Linked DNA regions of Arabidopsis thaliana. The protein of the gene in region 1 purifies or fractionates together with the protein of each later gene. This does not show direct contact. Each region holds a gene or a part of one and is shown on either strand. Other genes may lie near its edges.

The links. Proteins that work in one complex are often made in the same cells at the same time.
Region 2: the proteins of TMM (region 1) and ER purify together in Arabidopsis thaliana (affinity purification with western blotting, with the first as the bait; one study listed by BioGRID). This does not show direct contact.

Annotation. Positions count from the first base shown.
Region 1 is NC_003070.9:30,125,962-30,132,523, reverse strand, and holds TMM (Leucine-rich repeat (LRR) family protein), read left to right. Parts: upstream 1-2,874; 5' UTR 2,875-2,960; coding exon 2,961-4,451; 3' UTR 4,452-4,705; downstream 4,706-6,562. Other genes in the region: CBSX4 (Cystathionine beta-synthase (CBS) family protein), read right to left, coding at 669-1,010, 1,091-1,195, 1,272-1,515, 1,829-2,097, 2,193-2,306; SUS2 (Pre-mRNA-processing-splicing factor), read right to left, coding at 4,950-5,141, 5,229-5,471, 5,541-5,819, 5,899-6,096, 6,212-6,373, 6,554-6,562. UniProt on the Arabidopsis thaliana protein: Promotes cell fate progression in stomatal development. In leaves, needed to correctly orient spacing divisions, to limit the number of asymmetric divisions in neighbor cells, and to promote the asymmetric (amplifying) divisions of meristemoids.
Region 2 is NC_003071.7:11,207,452-11,216,519, forward strand, and holds ER (Leucine-rich receptor-like protein kinase family protein), read right to left. Parts: upstream 7,212-9,068; 5' UTR 6,445-7,211; coding exon 6,366-6,444; intron 6,020-6,365; coding exon 5,881-6,019; intron 5,780-5,880; coding exon 5,708-5,779; intron 5,604-5,707; coding exon 5,532-5,603; intron 5,441-5,531; coding exon 5,369-5,440; intron 5,279-5,368; coding exon 5,207-5,278; intron 5,129-5,206; coding exon 5,057-5,128; intron 4,981-5,056; coding exon 4,909-4,980; intron 4,826-4,908; coding exon 4,754-4,825; intron 4,661-4,753; coding exon 4,592-4,660; intron 4,507-4,591; coding exon 4,435-4,506; intron 4,359-4,434; coding exon 4,287-4,358; intron 4,199-4,286; coding exon 4,127-4,198; intron 4,038-4,126; coding exon 3,966-4,037; intron 3,898-3,965; coding exon 3,826-3,897; intron 3,739-3,825; coding exon 3,667-3,738; intron 3,541-3,666; coding exon 3,469-3,540; intron 3,387-3,468; coding exon 3,315-3,386; intron 3,229-3,314; coding exon 3,157-3,228; intron 3,071-3,156; and 17 more. Other genes in the region: AT2G26340 (uncharacterized protein), read left to right, coding at 7,803-8,031, 8,158-8,206, 8,308-8,378, 8,468-8,562, 8,650-8,708, 8,780-9,025. UniProt on the Arabidopsis thaliana protein: Receptor kinase that, together with ERL1 and ERL2, regulates aerial architecture, including inflorescence (e.g. shoot apical meristem-originating organ shape, elongation of the internode and pedicels, and adaxial-abaxial polarity), and stomatal patterning (e.g. density and clustering), probably by tuning cell division and expansion.

The sequences.
Region 1 (6,562 bases):
TAATTATTGTGAGCTAGTATAGAATGATATATGAAAATAGCTAAATATTATTGTAAATGCGGATTAAAAATGACTGAAAAGAAGAAAGAGCGTGCTTGGAAACGGAACAAACAACTAGCTAGTATTAAACATATACTTTTTCATGTTATCAGAGTAAGTAGTAAAGTGGAGCGCATAATGAGTGGATGCTTTTTTAAGGTTATGTTACCAATTAAAACTAGTGATTAAATTATGATTATGGAATTATTATATACGAAAACTGAAATTGTCTCATTCGTATGTCATGCTTCTTTGCGCCCCGTGCTCGAGTACCCTATTCATTAATCACTACCCTCTCAGTATTTCATAATTTCTATGATTGCTTTGTTTTCTTTTATTATCCATGTACAATATTTTTTCCTTAATGGGATTATTCCATGTGCAATTTTGTTAACATGTTTATTTGTGTTTATAAGATATTCTTTTGGTAGAAATTCGTCATTCCTTTGCTTTGACATTTTTTCTATTTATATCATTTCCCTATATTTTTCTTATGTGTTACGTAAATGTGATGTTAACATTCGATATGATGAGTCATTGAGATGAAAAACGCAAAATTGTGTAAATTTTCTCTAAGAAACAAATAAAAGAAAATTTGAGTAATTGGAGAGAAGACTGAAAGTTGCGAGTTAAAACAGATCCGGAGCTCCGGAAAGCAAAGCGGATCGGACCACAGCGATGATGTCAGTAAGAGAAACAAGGCCTTGTAGCCCACCGTTCTGGTCCACGACCCAAACTCTGTGTACACGTTTCGTGGTGACCATATGGATCACCTGGGCCAAGGTTGATGTCACGTGACACGTCACGAGCTCCCTCCCTGGTGTTGAGGTAGCAGCGGTGAACAAGAGAGTTCTTGGGATTTTCTCGACGAACTCTAGTGCATTTAGCGGCAACCACGAACGCAATGTGGCTAAATGACATCCCTTCAGATCACTAGCCGAGAATGTCCCCACCACTCTCCGATTTTTCCCCTGCACCAGCAAACACCAAATTAATCAACATTTGATCTTAATAGATACTGATAGATACATGTATAAGTAAAGACACCTACGTCGACGAGCTGTTTATGATCCTCTCCCTCACCAGAGGCTTCGACGATAGGAACCGCATTGAGCATTGCTATACTCATGCATTGTATTGCATCTTTCACTCTAGCCTGGTATTAAACATTACAAGCGTTTAACTTAGGATTTAATGAATAAAGATGAAAATTCTTGACTTGTGAAATTTACCTGGCTAGTGAGGGCTAAAACAGTGTTGTGAATAGCGGAGAGATCAGTGACGGTGTGGGAGAGGATACCATGCAATTGAGAGGATTGGTCGAAGAAGAAAGAGATGAGATCCATCTGACTCAGCATTGCGTAAGCAGAAGCTGACTCTACCAACTCAGGTCCTGTTATATTTTCTGTATTACTGTCCAATGGAACCAATACCCTGTGGATTCCTTTACTCAACATCTCCATACAATCCATGATGCTGCTTTCATCAATGACCATCTTTGATTAGTACTCTATCCGTTCATATATAATGTTAAGATTTTTGACAAGAGAAAAATGTTTTGCATTTTTCTATGAAAAATTTGCATTATAATTTCTAATTTATCATTTAGTTTGAATTATAAAAAATATGAAACTATAAACAATTAATGACTGAAATATGGGTATATATATTAGGTGTTGCAAAAGAATTCTTACTATGTGAGAAAAGTGTACAACATCTAACATTATAAAAGGGAAGGATTAATTATACTGAAAGCAATTTAATTTTACAAATCTTCTATACTATTAACCTGGTATTAGGATTGAGAGACCAGAGGCTAAGACCCTCAGGGCAATGACCAATGATAGAAGAGACAGGGGCAGCCATTTTCTTATCAAGCCCACTCTCGCCGTCATCGCCGGCGATGTGAGCCACAACGTCGAGCATGGTCACCATTCCTATGTACTGTTTTCTTGCACTTCCGCTCTGTTTGTCCAACTCTACTATCATTGATCCCCCGGCTCCCAGCCATTGGCCTGGTTTGGCAGCCACCGGTACAGCTCTAACTCGGTTTGCCACCGGTTTGATACCAAGAATAGTCTTGTTAGTAATTCTTGATACTTAAAACGGTTGACTCCAACCAAAAAAATAACAATTATTTAGCCGTGGTTTACCATAGTGTTCAAGGCGTCCCCTAGAGTGGCATTATCAGGAACTTCGACCAGCCGCCGCTTGTCGATCATCAGATCTTTGACCTTGAACTGCATCAGACGGCTGTACGACTGCATGAAGATTTGTATTTGGGTGATAGTCAAAGTCTCAAAGAAAATGGGACGAGGCTTATGAACTTCTAATCTTTGTTTTGATGCTTTCGTAGTTACTTCATTATTCATATATGTCATGTTACTAGTAAGATGACACGTATTACATGTGTTGCTCCATGGGCATGTGCTTTTCGTATGCACAGACCACGCGTCCGTTTATTCAGATTCTCGTGTTACAACAAAATAATGATTTTAAGGTTCAGAATCAAACATATGAAACTTTTTATCAATTGCTATCTACGGTTTGTTACAAAAACAAATACAGTGCCCAGTTCAAAATACAAATTGAATAATAGCCCAACATATCGTAAATGGGAAAATGGGCTCAGCCCAAATAAAAAAAAAGTAAACGATAAGGAGACGTCGGGTCCCGTTCACGAAGCGGTCGGATCTAGGGCCCAACACAAGACGAATGAAGGGAATATCTCGTGAAAGCAATAAATGCAGAAATCGAGAATCATGAATTTTATTTATTTCGCTCCTCGAGTTATCCCGTGAAAGTCATAAAGACATTGCGAACGTTTTTATGGACCCACCAATTGTTTCTTCAGAATTATACATATACACACTGACAATTTCGAACCTAAACCGCATTCACACAACAACAACAACTAAGAAATGGCACGATATGAATTCTTCCGCCAAATATTCATTGTCTTGTCTATAGTTTCTCCGTTGGTCAGATCTTTCACTGTGATCACCTCCGACTCGACGGCCCCATCTGCTCTGATCGACGGCCCACAAACTGGATTCACGATGACCAATGACGGCGCTCGCACGGAGCCTGACGAGCAAGACGCCGTCTACGACATTATGCGTGCGACCGGCAACGACTGGGCTGCCGCGATTCCAGACGTTTGCCGAGGGAGATGGCACGGGATCGAGTGTATGCCGGACCAGGATAACGTCTACCACGTGGTCTCTCTGTCGTTCGGAGCGCTCTCAGACGACACGGCGTTTCCGACTTGTGATCCACAACGCTCTTACGTCTCTGAGTCCCTCACGAGGCTCAAACACCTCAAAGCCTTGTTCTTCTACCGATGTTTAGGCCGCGCCCCACAGCGCATACCGGCGTTTCTGGGACGCCTCGGCTCGAGTCTGCAAACGCTGGTTCTGAGGGAGAATGGTTTTTTGGGACCTATCCCTGACGAATTGGGCAATCTCACCAATTTGAAAGTTCTTGATTTGCATAAAAATCACCTCAACGGCTCCATTCCCTTGTCGTTCAACCGGTTCTCCGGTTTAAGATCGCTTGATTTGAGTGGTAACCGGTTGACTGGTTCCATTCCCGGTTTTGTTCTTCCGGCGCTGAGCGTTCTGGATTTGAACCAGAATCTTTTAACCGGACCGGTTCCACCCACACTCACAAGCTGTGGATCGTTGATCAAAATCGATCTTAGCCGAAACAGAGTCACTGGTCCTATCCCAGAATCGATTAACCGGCTCAACCAATTAGTGCTTTTGGATTTGAGCTATAACCGGTTATCAGGTCCATTCCCGTCTTCTCTCCAAGGCCTAAACTCTCTTCAAGCTTTAATGCTCAAAGGCAACACAAAATTCTCAACAACGATTCCTGAAAACGCGTTCAAAGGGCTCAAGAACTTGATGATTCTTGTTCTCTCGAATACGAACATCCAGGGCTCGATACCGAAATCATTGACTCGGTTAAACAGTCTTCGGGTCCTTCACCTAGAGGGCAATAATCTGACCGGAGAGATTCCTTTGGAGTTCCGGGACGTGAAGCATCTAAGCGAGCTGAGGCTCAACGATAACAGTCTGACAGGACCAGTACCGTTCGAGAGAGACACAGTGTGGAGGATGAGGAGAAAGCTGAGGCTGTATAACAATGCTGGTTTGTGTGTTAACCGGGACAGTGACTTGGATGATGCATTCGGTTCAAAATCTGGTTCAACTGTAAGATTGTGTGATGCAGAAACGTCGAGACCAGCTCCTTCCGGTACGGTCCAGCACCTATCTAGAGAAGAAGACGGTGCTTTGCCGGACGGAGCTACGGACGTGTCAAGCACTTCCAAGTCTTTGGGGTTCTCCTATCTTTCTGCATTCTTTCTTGTATTCCCTAATTTCATTTTTATGCTAATATCTAGTTAGAGGAGGGATGATAAAACTGCTGTAAATACTTCCCGAGTTTAATAATGTTAGTTAGATGCCTTTTCTGCATTAGTTGGATTGAATATCGCCACCATTTATGGCTACAAAAAAAACTTGTAAGCTCGAACGTGTTCCTTCTGTCTATATACTCTGTTCTTTGATCTCTGTTTTATCTTTCCGGAGATAAGAGACTTGTATTGCTTGTTCTTCCATGTTTTGTACATTTGGCGTTTATTCGAAATGGGAAAAACCTCTTAAAATAGTTTAAATTTGTCGTTTTATTTTCTCTCATCGAAGACGTTAGTTACCAAAATTCCGTTATACACGTACGTATGATTACATCACATTCAAGATTTTGATTATAGTGGCAAACCATCTTTTTAAGATTTAGGGACCTTACTATCTATCTCAGTAAAGCACAAGACAGTACAACATCTTACAAGTCTATACTGCAAAATAAAGCTAAATCACACACACGGTAAGAAAATTGAGTATATCTCAAGTAAATGTGTCCTCGCGATCTCCCTCTGTAATGTCAGCCTCCTCCATGTTGCTGAACTCCAGGAAATGAGTGGGTCGATGCTCCTCGTGATAGAACTCCTTTGGGGATCCGAGTTTGACACTGTATTTCATGCTCAACGTGTGCTTCACTCCAGTGAAGCTATAGTTCCACGGTCCACTCTCAGGAACCTATCATAACATCAGTTACAAAAATCAGATTTCAATGGTTTATATCATCCAAGGACAAAAGCACAATTGCAAACTCTGTTGTCTTACCATGTAAAACCCGAGGAACCGGTCACTCAGCAGCATCTGAACCTTTTCATAATGGGTGGGAAGGTAACCGTGAGGATTGCTGCCATTGTCCTTGTTAAGCCGCCCCCATTCATATCCGGTTTGGGTCAACTTATATGACGTCAAAGAGCAGGAGCCCGGAGTGAAACTGCAGGTCAGGATGATGCATTTTTCTCCATCCCATTGCTTGTTGTTCTCCAGAATACGGGAATGAGAGGTTACATCCTATCAAAGAAAAGATCAGTTAGCAATGAGGTTAACAGAAGGTAAAGATAAATATATATATATATATACCTGTGGTGATAGCTGAGGCAGCTCGTTAGGCTGTGTGTGCAACCATCCCAAGGGCTCAAGATCATTTAGGAAATCATGCTCAGGAAGAGATGACGGCAGGTGAACTAGCTGATGATTTCCCCACTGTGGCACCATCACAACACAACGGATCTCCTTCACCTGGGGATTATCCGGGGGACTAATACCATATAAATACCCAGCAATTTGAGTACGAAGATCCGCAACGCATATGAACTTCTTCAAAATGTTCTTTGGCATGATGTAGGTGTATCCGGTTTCCTGTGACAACAACAGACAGTGTTTAAGGTCGACACCTGAAAGGCTTTTACTTAATTGACAAAGTGAATTGGATTCTAACCTTTATGTCATCTGAGTTCACATATATGTGATTGACTCTAAGGTAAAGATTAGTGGCTGATATTGCACGTACACGCCAATCTGTCTTGGAACCGAATGCAGATTGCTCGTAAGGGCTTGTGGTGGTGACAATGAGCTCATCACCATGAACATTTGTAGTTCTTGTTGTGACTGCAGTAAGCTGGCTGGCTTCCTTTGCCTGCAAATAGGATATAGATTTACAGTGAACAAAGAATAATAGTCACAGTCCACTCTCACAATGTTTGTGTTTGTTAGAAAACCTGATAGAACATAGAAGTAACAGTTACGAGTACCTGTTTCTCAATCTCAGCTATCTGTTGCCTCTGTTGAGAGGGTGGAGTAATCTCAGCTCCAAGAATAATATCTCGGATCTCTGATTGTGTCAGAGCTGAGGTATTCACATTGTTTTTCTTTGCGTAGTCAGAAAGAATAAGATCTCTAAGTGCTACCTCCACCTGAATTTAACATGATCGTGAGTAAGGAAGGACTATTTCAAAAAAAGAGAAGAAAGTAAAAGCTATATATCACATAACTCACTAGTAAATAAAAACAGCAGATATAGAATGTAAAGAGGGATCCTATCAAATAAAAGAATATAGCAAGAAGAAGTACTTGGAAAGTGGCAGAAGAGTTACCTTCATCCA
Region 2 (9,068 bases), on another chromosome or scaffold:
AACAAAATCAAGATGATATCTTTAAAAAGCCTTATACTGTATGTCATGTTCAAAAATAGAATTTAAACTTAGAACAAGTTTTGAAAAGGGTAGGCTTATCAGTGGGATAAACAACAATCAAGACGATTTTACAATCGCACAACAGTGCTACTCTTCTGCCTTCTTGAAAAGTCTTTTTTTTTACGTTTTAATTATTTACTACTTCTTCTTTTATGTATTTTTTTTGTGTAGACTCTCGTAAATGTATACATAAAAACCAAAGTTAGTAGATTTTAGTTGTAGTAATTAGTTCTTGTCTAAAATGCCTTTTTTGAAAAAAATCTTAGGAAAATGCCATTTTTAAATGGTGTACGGATTTATCTTTTTTAACATTTTAAAATGTATGTATTTACGATTTTGATTTTGCAAAAATACGTACTTTATACTAAACTAGAAAGTCTCACGCGCTGTATGAGTTCGAATTAATATAAGAAATTATAAAAAAACTATATAAAATAAATTAATCAGACAATATATTTGTTTATCATTTTTATTGCCAAGTGAGAAAACTTATTAACCTATCGTTTGCACTCTCATAGACGTGGTTGACATATAACACTACATAGCAAAACGTTTCTCGTAGTTTAGAAGGTTCTTTCTATGTATATGTTTTTGAGCATAAGAAATCTTTTGTGGTGGTGACGTGGTGTTGAGTACTAGATCTAAGATATGTTACAAGAATAACCCAATTTAGAAAAACTTAGATAGGCAAGAACTTATAGGAAGTCTAAGTGCCAGTCTGAAGACATATTCACACCACACACTTGTCTAATAATAATAAGGCAGTGCATAATACTTTACATGAGACATTAATTTTTCTAACAGCTTAACGCAACGAAAAGATACCGTTTTAAAGATTCTCCTCCTAACGAAAAACTACTCACTGTTCTGAGAAATAACTTGTCCAAACCGAAGAAACAGTTGAGCATCAGAAGCACTCATGGAAGAGCAATTGACAGAATGAGGAGTCTTGAGATTTGCATACTCATCGACGTAGCACGAACCAGCCAGCGTCGCTGACGTGTCAGTCGCAGCAGGTGGTTGTTCCGATAGCATAAAACTGCCGAGAACACGAGTCACCTGGTGCATTGTGGGTCGATCATTCGGCTGTCTTTTGGTGCATAGGAGTGCCAGTTGGAAAACTTTCTTCACCACACCGAGATCTTTACACGTCGATGTGATGTCTGGATCTGCCATTTCCATCACTTCATTGTTCCCCGTCTTTGACATTATCTGATGTAAGTGAATCAATGAAAACAAGATTACGGACTTGACCTAAACAGAGCAGCTGAGAGAGATAGGCAAGAAAGAACAAACCAGATGGTGGAGATTGGATTCGTCATCAACGGCTTTCCTTCGGGTTAACAACTCAAGAAGGACTATTCCATAACTGTAGACATCGGATTTCTCAGTGAGCCGTGAAGTGCGAGCATACTCGGGGTCTATGTAACCTATCGTGCCCATCACGTAAGTTGAAGTATGTGACTTTGACACACACAAGCTTTTCGCTATTCCAAAATCTGTCAAACGAGCCTCTAAGTCTTTGTCCAAGAGAATGTTGGACGACTTCACGTCTCTGTGAATGATCCTTGGACTACAGTCATGGTGTAGATAAGCTAAACCTTGTGCTGCACCATATGCTATCTTAAGCCGTGTGTCCCAATCAAGAGTCTTTTTCTTCGTAGGGCCTTTACAAAACACACAAGCAAGTTGTTATGTCACAGAAGATTCAAATAATTTTCTATGTTTGGCGATGAGACTTACCATGAAGAAGATCCCAGAGGCTACCATTTTCCAAATAGTCATAGAACAGAAGACTCCCCAAGTGAGAGAGGGAATAAGCTTGTAGGCTCACAAGATTTCTGTGCTTGATGCTACTTAGCATCTCGAGTTCTGTTTCAAACTGTTTCATTGACTGTGGGTTGTGAGAGTAAAGCCGCTTAATCGCAACCGGTTTACAATTCTTCAAAACACATTTGTATACAGTGCTTGATGCTCCGTGCCCAATGATATACTTCTCACTTAGATTCTCTGTCATTCTCATGATATCCTCGTAAACGTGGAGTGCCATGTTCATATGAAGGATGACGAGCTTCGGTGTCGAATAAGTTACTGATGTCACCAGGAAATTTAAGGATTAACTATTGGATTACATTGTAGGTGAAGAACATTCGTAAAGTGGTTTGGAGAGTAGACCTGGTTTGTCAAGTGATCCATCAAGAAAAGGAGGAGGATTATGCGGTCGGCAAGCTGCTATTAAGACCATGAGAAGGATCACAAGTCCCCCAATAGCTATTCCAAGAATAGCTGCTCTAGAGATTGACACTGCAGACAAAACATGGATAGAAACATGAGCTTTAATTATCTTAGGTTTTGTGAATGGAAGCTTTTAGAAGAATGTAATCACCTCGTACAGTTCGACGAGAATCATGACACGGTGAGTTTAGCCAACTACCGCAAAGACCAGGATTGCCAATGAAGCTTTATCCAAAAACATAAACATAGATATTAGCAAACAAAACAAAATGCACAATACCAAAACCTGCTAAATTACCATACCTGTCTGGTGAAAATCTTGAGAAGTTATTGTTCTTAGGGATATCACCTACGAGGTTGTTATGAGATACATTCCTATAAGAGTTAGTGAAGATTGCAGGGTTATATTCTTAGCAAAAGATGCACAAAGAGGGACAAAAAATGTTTCAGAACCAAAGGTGCCTACTTACAATACAGTGAGACTGAGACAGTTGGCTAATGAACCAACATTACCAGTCAGGTTATTATTTTCCAGTCTCCTGCAAGCAATTTTAAGAAACACAACATTAGATAGATCACCAACCCAATACATGTTCCTGGATCACACTATAGTGACCTCATTATTGTGTATACAGAGTTTTAGTTTCATTCTACAAAAACAATTTCTTAACAGCTTGGAAGGGATAAGAGGAAGATTGCTTACAGCAAAATTATGTTCTGTAATTGGTTAAGCTCTTCTGGAATTGGGCCAGAGATATCATTATTTGAAAGATCTCTGCAACCACAAACACACAAATTCAGAACAGTAATTGAGATAAATGAAAAAAACTCTAACCAAGCAGATAGAAGTTAACTTCTTACATTTCCATGATGCTTCTTAGATTTCCAAAGTCGCCTGGAACTACACCAGTTATATGATTTCTACTCAAGTTCCTATAACAAGAATGCAAGAGTTCACAAACCATTTTCATCTTTTGCTAGAAATAAACAATAAAACTGGAGGTCTTATGGATGCTCACATCTTGAGAAGATGCTCCAAATCACCAAGGGAAGAAGGAATGATTCCATTTATCTTGTTGTTGGAAAGATCCCTTCAAATGTCATTAAATTTAATAAATGTGAGACAAGGCACATATAATGATGTATACTTCACAGAAAACAAGAAACACTTACAATGTATCTAAGTTACCGATACGAGATAGCTCAACCGGGATTGGACCTTTGATATTGTTGCTGGACAGATTACTGGTTGAACCGATAAATCAAAGGCAACCAAAAACTCAGTAGTTAATGACTTGAAATTCGAAAAAACAAACGCTGTGGAACTATATATTATATAAGATTAGAGAAATTCTCAGCGTCGATACTTACAGGTAAGTCATACTTTCTAGCTTTTGAAATGCTCGGGGTATAGTGCCACTAAACTTGTTCCCATGAACATTTCTACATTACATTAATGAGACACAAAATCATATAAAGCACCAATCTTGAACATTCAAGTGAGAAGTTTTCAGAGAAAGAGATACATACAAGCTGTTTAGATTTGTGCAAGAGCTCAGATGATCAGGTATAGGTCCTTCCAGATCATTGTTGGCCACATTCCTATATGTACATAGTTCATATAAGCATAAGAACATCAAAACATGTCAAGCATAGGAAGAACTACTTACAGATCAAACAAGTCAGTAAGCTTCCCAAGCTCTGGTGGTATATGACCCGTGAGATGATTATCATTGAGTTCCCTATGAATATTTTACAAATAGTTGATAAGGAAACACAACTTAGTAGTGACTGTATGCAAAAAGAGAAGTGAAGAGAAGGTTGGTCATACAGGTAATGGAGTTTTGACATGTTTCCAAGCTCAGGTGGAATTGAACCAGTCAGCTTGTTACTGTGCAAATACCTAGAGATAAAGCCAAAAAGATAAATCACTATCATTAACATGGTATGACATTTGACTCCAAACTGAAAACAAACAGGTAAAGAATTACAATTTCTCGGTGAAAGTAAGATTTCCGAGAATCGGAGGAATAGATCCACTCAACAAGTTGCCACTTAGATCTCTGTAAAAGAAAACATATAACCTAAGTTCATGAAAATGTTATAAGTAGCTTCATTGATTAGAAGAAAAGTACTTACAAGACTGCAAGGGCTTGCATGAGACCAATCACTGATGGAATCTTCCCAGAGAGTTGATTGCCTTGCAATGATCTAAGATAAGAAAATGATCTTCTTTAAAAGAAAACAAAGGCTAGCCAAAATTTAAAGCAAAAGATTAGTAGAGGTGAGAACTAACAATGTTGCAACTTGCAGGAAGCCGATGTCAAAAGGGATCTCACCAGTTAGCTGATTGTAGGACAAGTCCCTGAGTTCGTAATAAGCAAACCAGTTAAGTAGATTTTCTTAAGTAACCCAAATTACAGTAATGATGTTTAGAAGTAGAGAAAGAGGCACATACAAAACCTGGAAGGCAGTGCAATTTCCTATCGTCTCAGGTATACTACCAGTCAAACTGTTGTTTCTTACGTCACTGATTCAATATCAAAACAAAGTCAGATATTTGATATTTACAAAAGAACTCATCATACTATTCAGATGTGCAAGAAGACTCACAAATACCAAAGACCAGTCAGTTGACACAAATCTGGAGAAATGTTACCGACTAAGTTGTTTCCTCGCAACCCACTGCTCATCATAGTACAACAATTATCACCGGGTAATGAAGAGACATTGACAGACTTCAAAAAACATTGACACTTACAGATACTGAAGAACTTCATTCCAGTAAATAAGTCTTGGTATCTCACCACTGAGTTTATTCTGTGCCAAGTCCCTGCAATTGAAATTACACATGTATGATCACCTATATAGCTAAAAGTAGTAAGACATGTAAGAATCATGGGGAACATACAGAATTTTCAGGTTTGGAATCTGTGAAAGTGTTGAAGGGATCGGTCCTATCAATTGGTTATTCTTCAGAATCCTGGACAAAGTAAAAATCCATATTCCACATGGTGAGTATATTTTTAGCAATGACATATGAAGACTAGTAGCAGAATAACTAGCTACTTACAGCTGCTCAAGTTGCTTCAACTTCGAAATCGAAAACGGTATGTCACCACTTAATTCATTGAAGGATAAGTCTCTGAATAAAAAACAACATGAACACACTTCATCAAATAAAACCTCTATGAACAAAAGTTTAATGGTAGAATAACACCAATCACTGTTCTTACAAGTTTTGCAAAGAAGAACAGTCACCAATCTCATCAGGGATTTGTCCAGACAAGCGATTACCTCGCAGATCACTACATTAGAAAAAAACAGAAGACAAAAGTCACAACTCAGAGAGTGGAATAGAATTAAAGTAAGATACTTTATTTCATGCTACAGTGAATGTTGAAACAGTTACATTGACAAGAGACTCTTGAGATCTCCAATAGCAGGTGAGATTTCTCCATCAAGATTCAAATCTGACAAATTACTACAAAACATAGAAAACACACACAAAACAAATTACAACTTTTTCCCACAAGAACACCAAAAACCACTGTAATAGTAATCTAAAGGAATGAAGAAACTTACAGAGCAACAACATTGAAGGTGACATTTTCACAAGACACACCTCTCCAGACACAATAATCCGAAGAAGGTGAAGTTGTCCAGTCATAAAGAACATTGTTCACATCTTTGAATGACTTCTTAATCTCCAGCAACGTTGCTCCTTTAATTTTGTTTTAAGGATATTTTATTAACACACACGCACAAAAACAAAAAAAAATATTTGTCAGTTCTTGAGAAGATTAAAAATTCAACTTCCAAGAAAACAAAATAAAACTCAAACCCTAATTTATTCAAAGCTTCTTTTGATTCTATAGAAGACCCACCAAGTAAAAAAAAACCATTACAAAAAGCAAAAATAGAAAATAACAAGTACCCAGATCTCATTTTCACCAAATGAAACTTCAAAAATCATATAAAAATCTCATCTTTAAGTTTTTTTCACTAATATAAAACAAAAAGACGAAAATCTTGAACTTGAAGAAGCATGCATCAGTATAATAACTGACCCTCCTCTGAAGTCACAGTAGCTACTAAGCTCAAGCAGAAGAGAAACCCAAGAAGAACAATATCTCTAAACAGAGCCATTTCTCACACACAGTCTTAAAACGACTGCGTTTTTAGATATACTTTAAAAGCTTTCAAGTCTCCATGAAGAAGAAACAGAGGATAGAGAAGAAGAAGAGAACCGTATTATGTACCGACATTAGATTTTTTTTCTTTCTTTTATTATGATTTCTACAGAAATTTGTTTTTGTTTTTTTACTTTAACCGAGAAAAAATGATTTTTATCGTTCCATCACATCAAATTCTGGCGGAAATTTACAGTGGTTTCATTGAGTGCTCAGACGACAGAAATACAGAGTAAGATAGAGATGGAGAGAGAAAGAGAGAGAGTCTTTAAAGAGAGGAGATTGTACAAATGTAGGGACCTGTTGTGTAAGAGAGAGAGATGAAGGGAAGAAGAATTATTTGGGGAGGATAAAGTTAAAAACCCCATCATCTTTTATCTCTCTGCCAGAGTTCTGAAGCTTTGCAGAAGAGAGAGATAGAGTGAGTGAGAGGGAGTGATTTTGTTTCTCTCTCTTGAAGGGTAAAACGGTCATAAAATGTAGAAGAAGAAGGAGAAGAAGAACATGTTAATGGCAGTGGTGAATAAAGGAGGTCGCTTTCGTTGCCCAATACTTACGAGTCTTTGTCTCTCTGTGGCTTGTTTCACAGATGACCCATATCAATAAATCCATCTTATGGGTACTTTTGTAATTATGTATTTTTATATGATTTTAGTGTAATTTTTTTGTTTGCTTAACATGTTCTTCTTCATCTTCTTACTTCAATTACTAATTTAAATTCAGGAGTTTACAAAAAGTTTGGTTCAGTTTTCTCTTCTTTAATTATTAGTATAGTTGTTGTGTTTTTGTCAACGTTTTTTAGTATAGTGAACGTGTGATTTCTAAGTGTTTTTGTTTATTACTAAATTTAGAAATATGCATGCCAATGATTTTTGGTTTAGCATCAACACAAAACTTAATAAAATATGATTGGTTTTAGGATGTTAACCGGTTTGGTTGGCTCCGGTCGGTTTGTCACAAAATTAATATTTTGAAGCTTTGAGAACGAAGTGGACTAAAACTAAAAGGGTCACAGGCCCAACAAAAGAAGGAAGAACTTAAAAAATAATAATTCCTTTTCATTTTAACTTCTCTTTTTTTTTTTGTTAAATCATTTATTTGTTTCAATAAAAATACACATAATATTATCTTTTCTCAAAAAGTACTATATAGTTAGAAAACTACATATTTATTTTAACCCAAATTATTATTTTTCCATTCCTTACACACTGTACGTTACACTTTTTATTATCATTTGCTGTACAACGTTAATATTTTTAACCATTTCTGCAATTGTTTACCTCTTTTTCATCCGCAAATTTCTAATTAAATTATATGTTGAATGTTCATAGCCATAATAATAATTTGTCCAACGGAGATAAGACGCCTCTGGTGTTATCCCCAATGTCGTCACTCCACGCTACCGTGAGCCTCCCACTGTTCTCCAACTCAAACCACAAAAAGCTAACGTGCGCAGCTACATTATCACCTCCGCCATGGAAACAGAGCCGGCGAGTTATCTCCGTCTCCTTTTTTCTCTCCCGTCTCCTCCTCCTCCCTAACGGTACACGCATCTCTCTTCAAATTCACCAATCCGATTCTCAATTTCACGAACTCGATTTTCAATATCACCAATTCGACTTTTGTTCATTTCAAATTTGGTTATTTATATGTTGATGATGATGATCAGATGCTATGGCTGGTGGCTTAATGGATAAATTGGATAAATACGTCAAGAGGTAACATTAAATCGTCTCCGATGCTTATTCCTTTGAATTCTGAAGTTAGATTTTGAAATGTTTGGTGAATTATCTAAAACTTAAAACCAGTTATTGAATAGGAAGAAACTTGATCCACTTGAAGCATATGTACCACCAGTGATTCTAGCTCAGTTACAAATCCAGGATCTTGGTAAAATTTCTCTGTTTTTTTGTTACACATTTGTTCTTAAAACTCTTGCTATATAAAACTTACACTCATGTTTATTTATGATGTTGGAGAGGGATTTTTGAATGTGGAGAAACCTGAATTTGAGGCGTGTAGACGCCAATTGCGGTCTGGTCCTGCTAGCTCTCTTCGTGTAAACATTCGAGCTGTAAGTTTTTAAAGCTCACTTGATGTCACTCATTTGGTTTCTGTTTGATGATGAAATGTGTAATGCAAACTCTTTCAGGTTGCTCAGTATGCTTCAGATGATGGTTTCTCCAAAACCGCCACTGATGATGTTGATCGATGTTTAAGGTACCGACAATGTTTGAATGAATGATGATGACCTTTGCGTGTGTAATTTATGTTGGCTTTTCCTTCTATAGAGCATTGGAAGAACTGGATTCGTTGTTTCTACGTGCGTCGAGGAAAGATTCAAATGCAACTGTTGTATTGATGAAGTCACAGCTTGGAACAGCGTTAACCGCACTGGACAGTCTTCTACAAACAGTTCCTTCTCAAGTGCTTGATAAAGGGAAAGCTATGGTGGAAGTCTACAGATCAGCATCTGAAGAAGATGCGGGAAGTGATGATTTAGAATCCTCTGAGATAAAGCAGCTCCAGTCCATACTGTGAGAGGGGAGGTCACAGGACTATTACTATCCAAAAACAGTT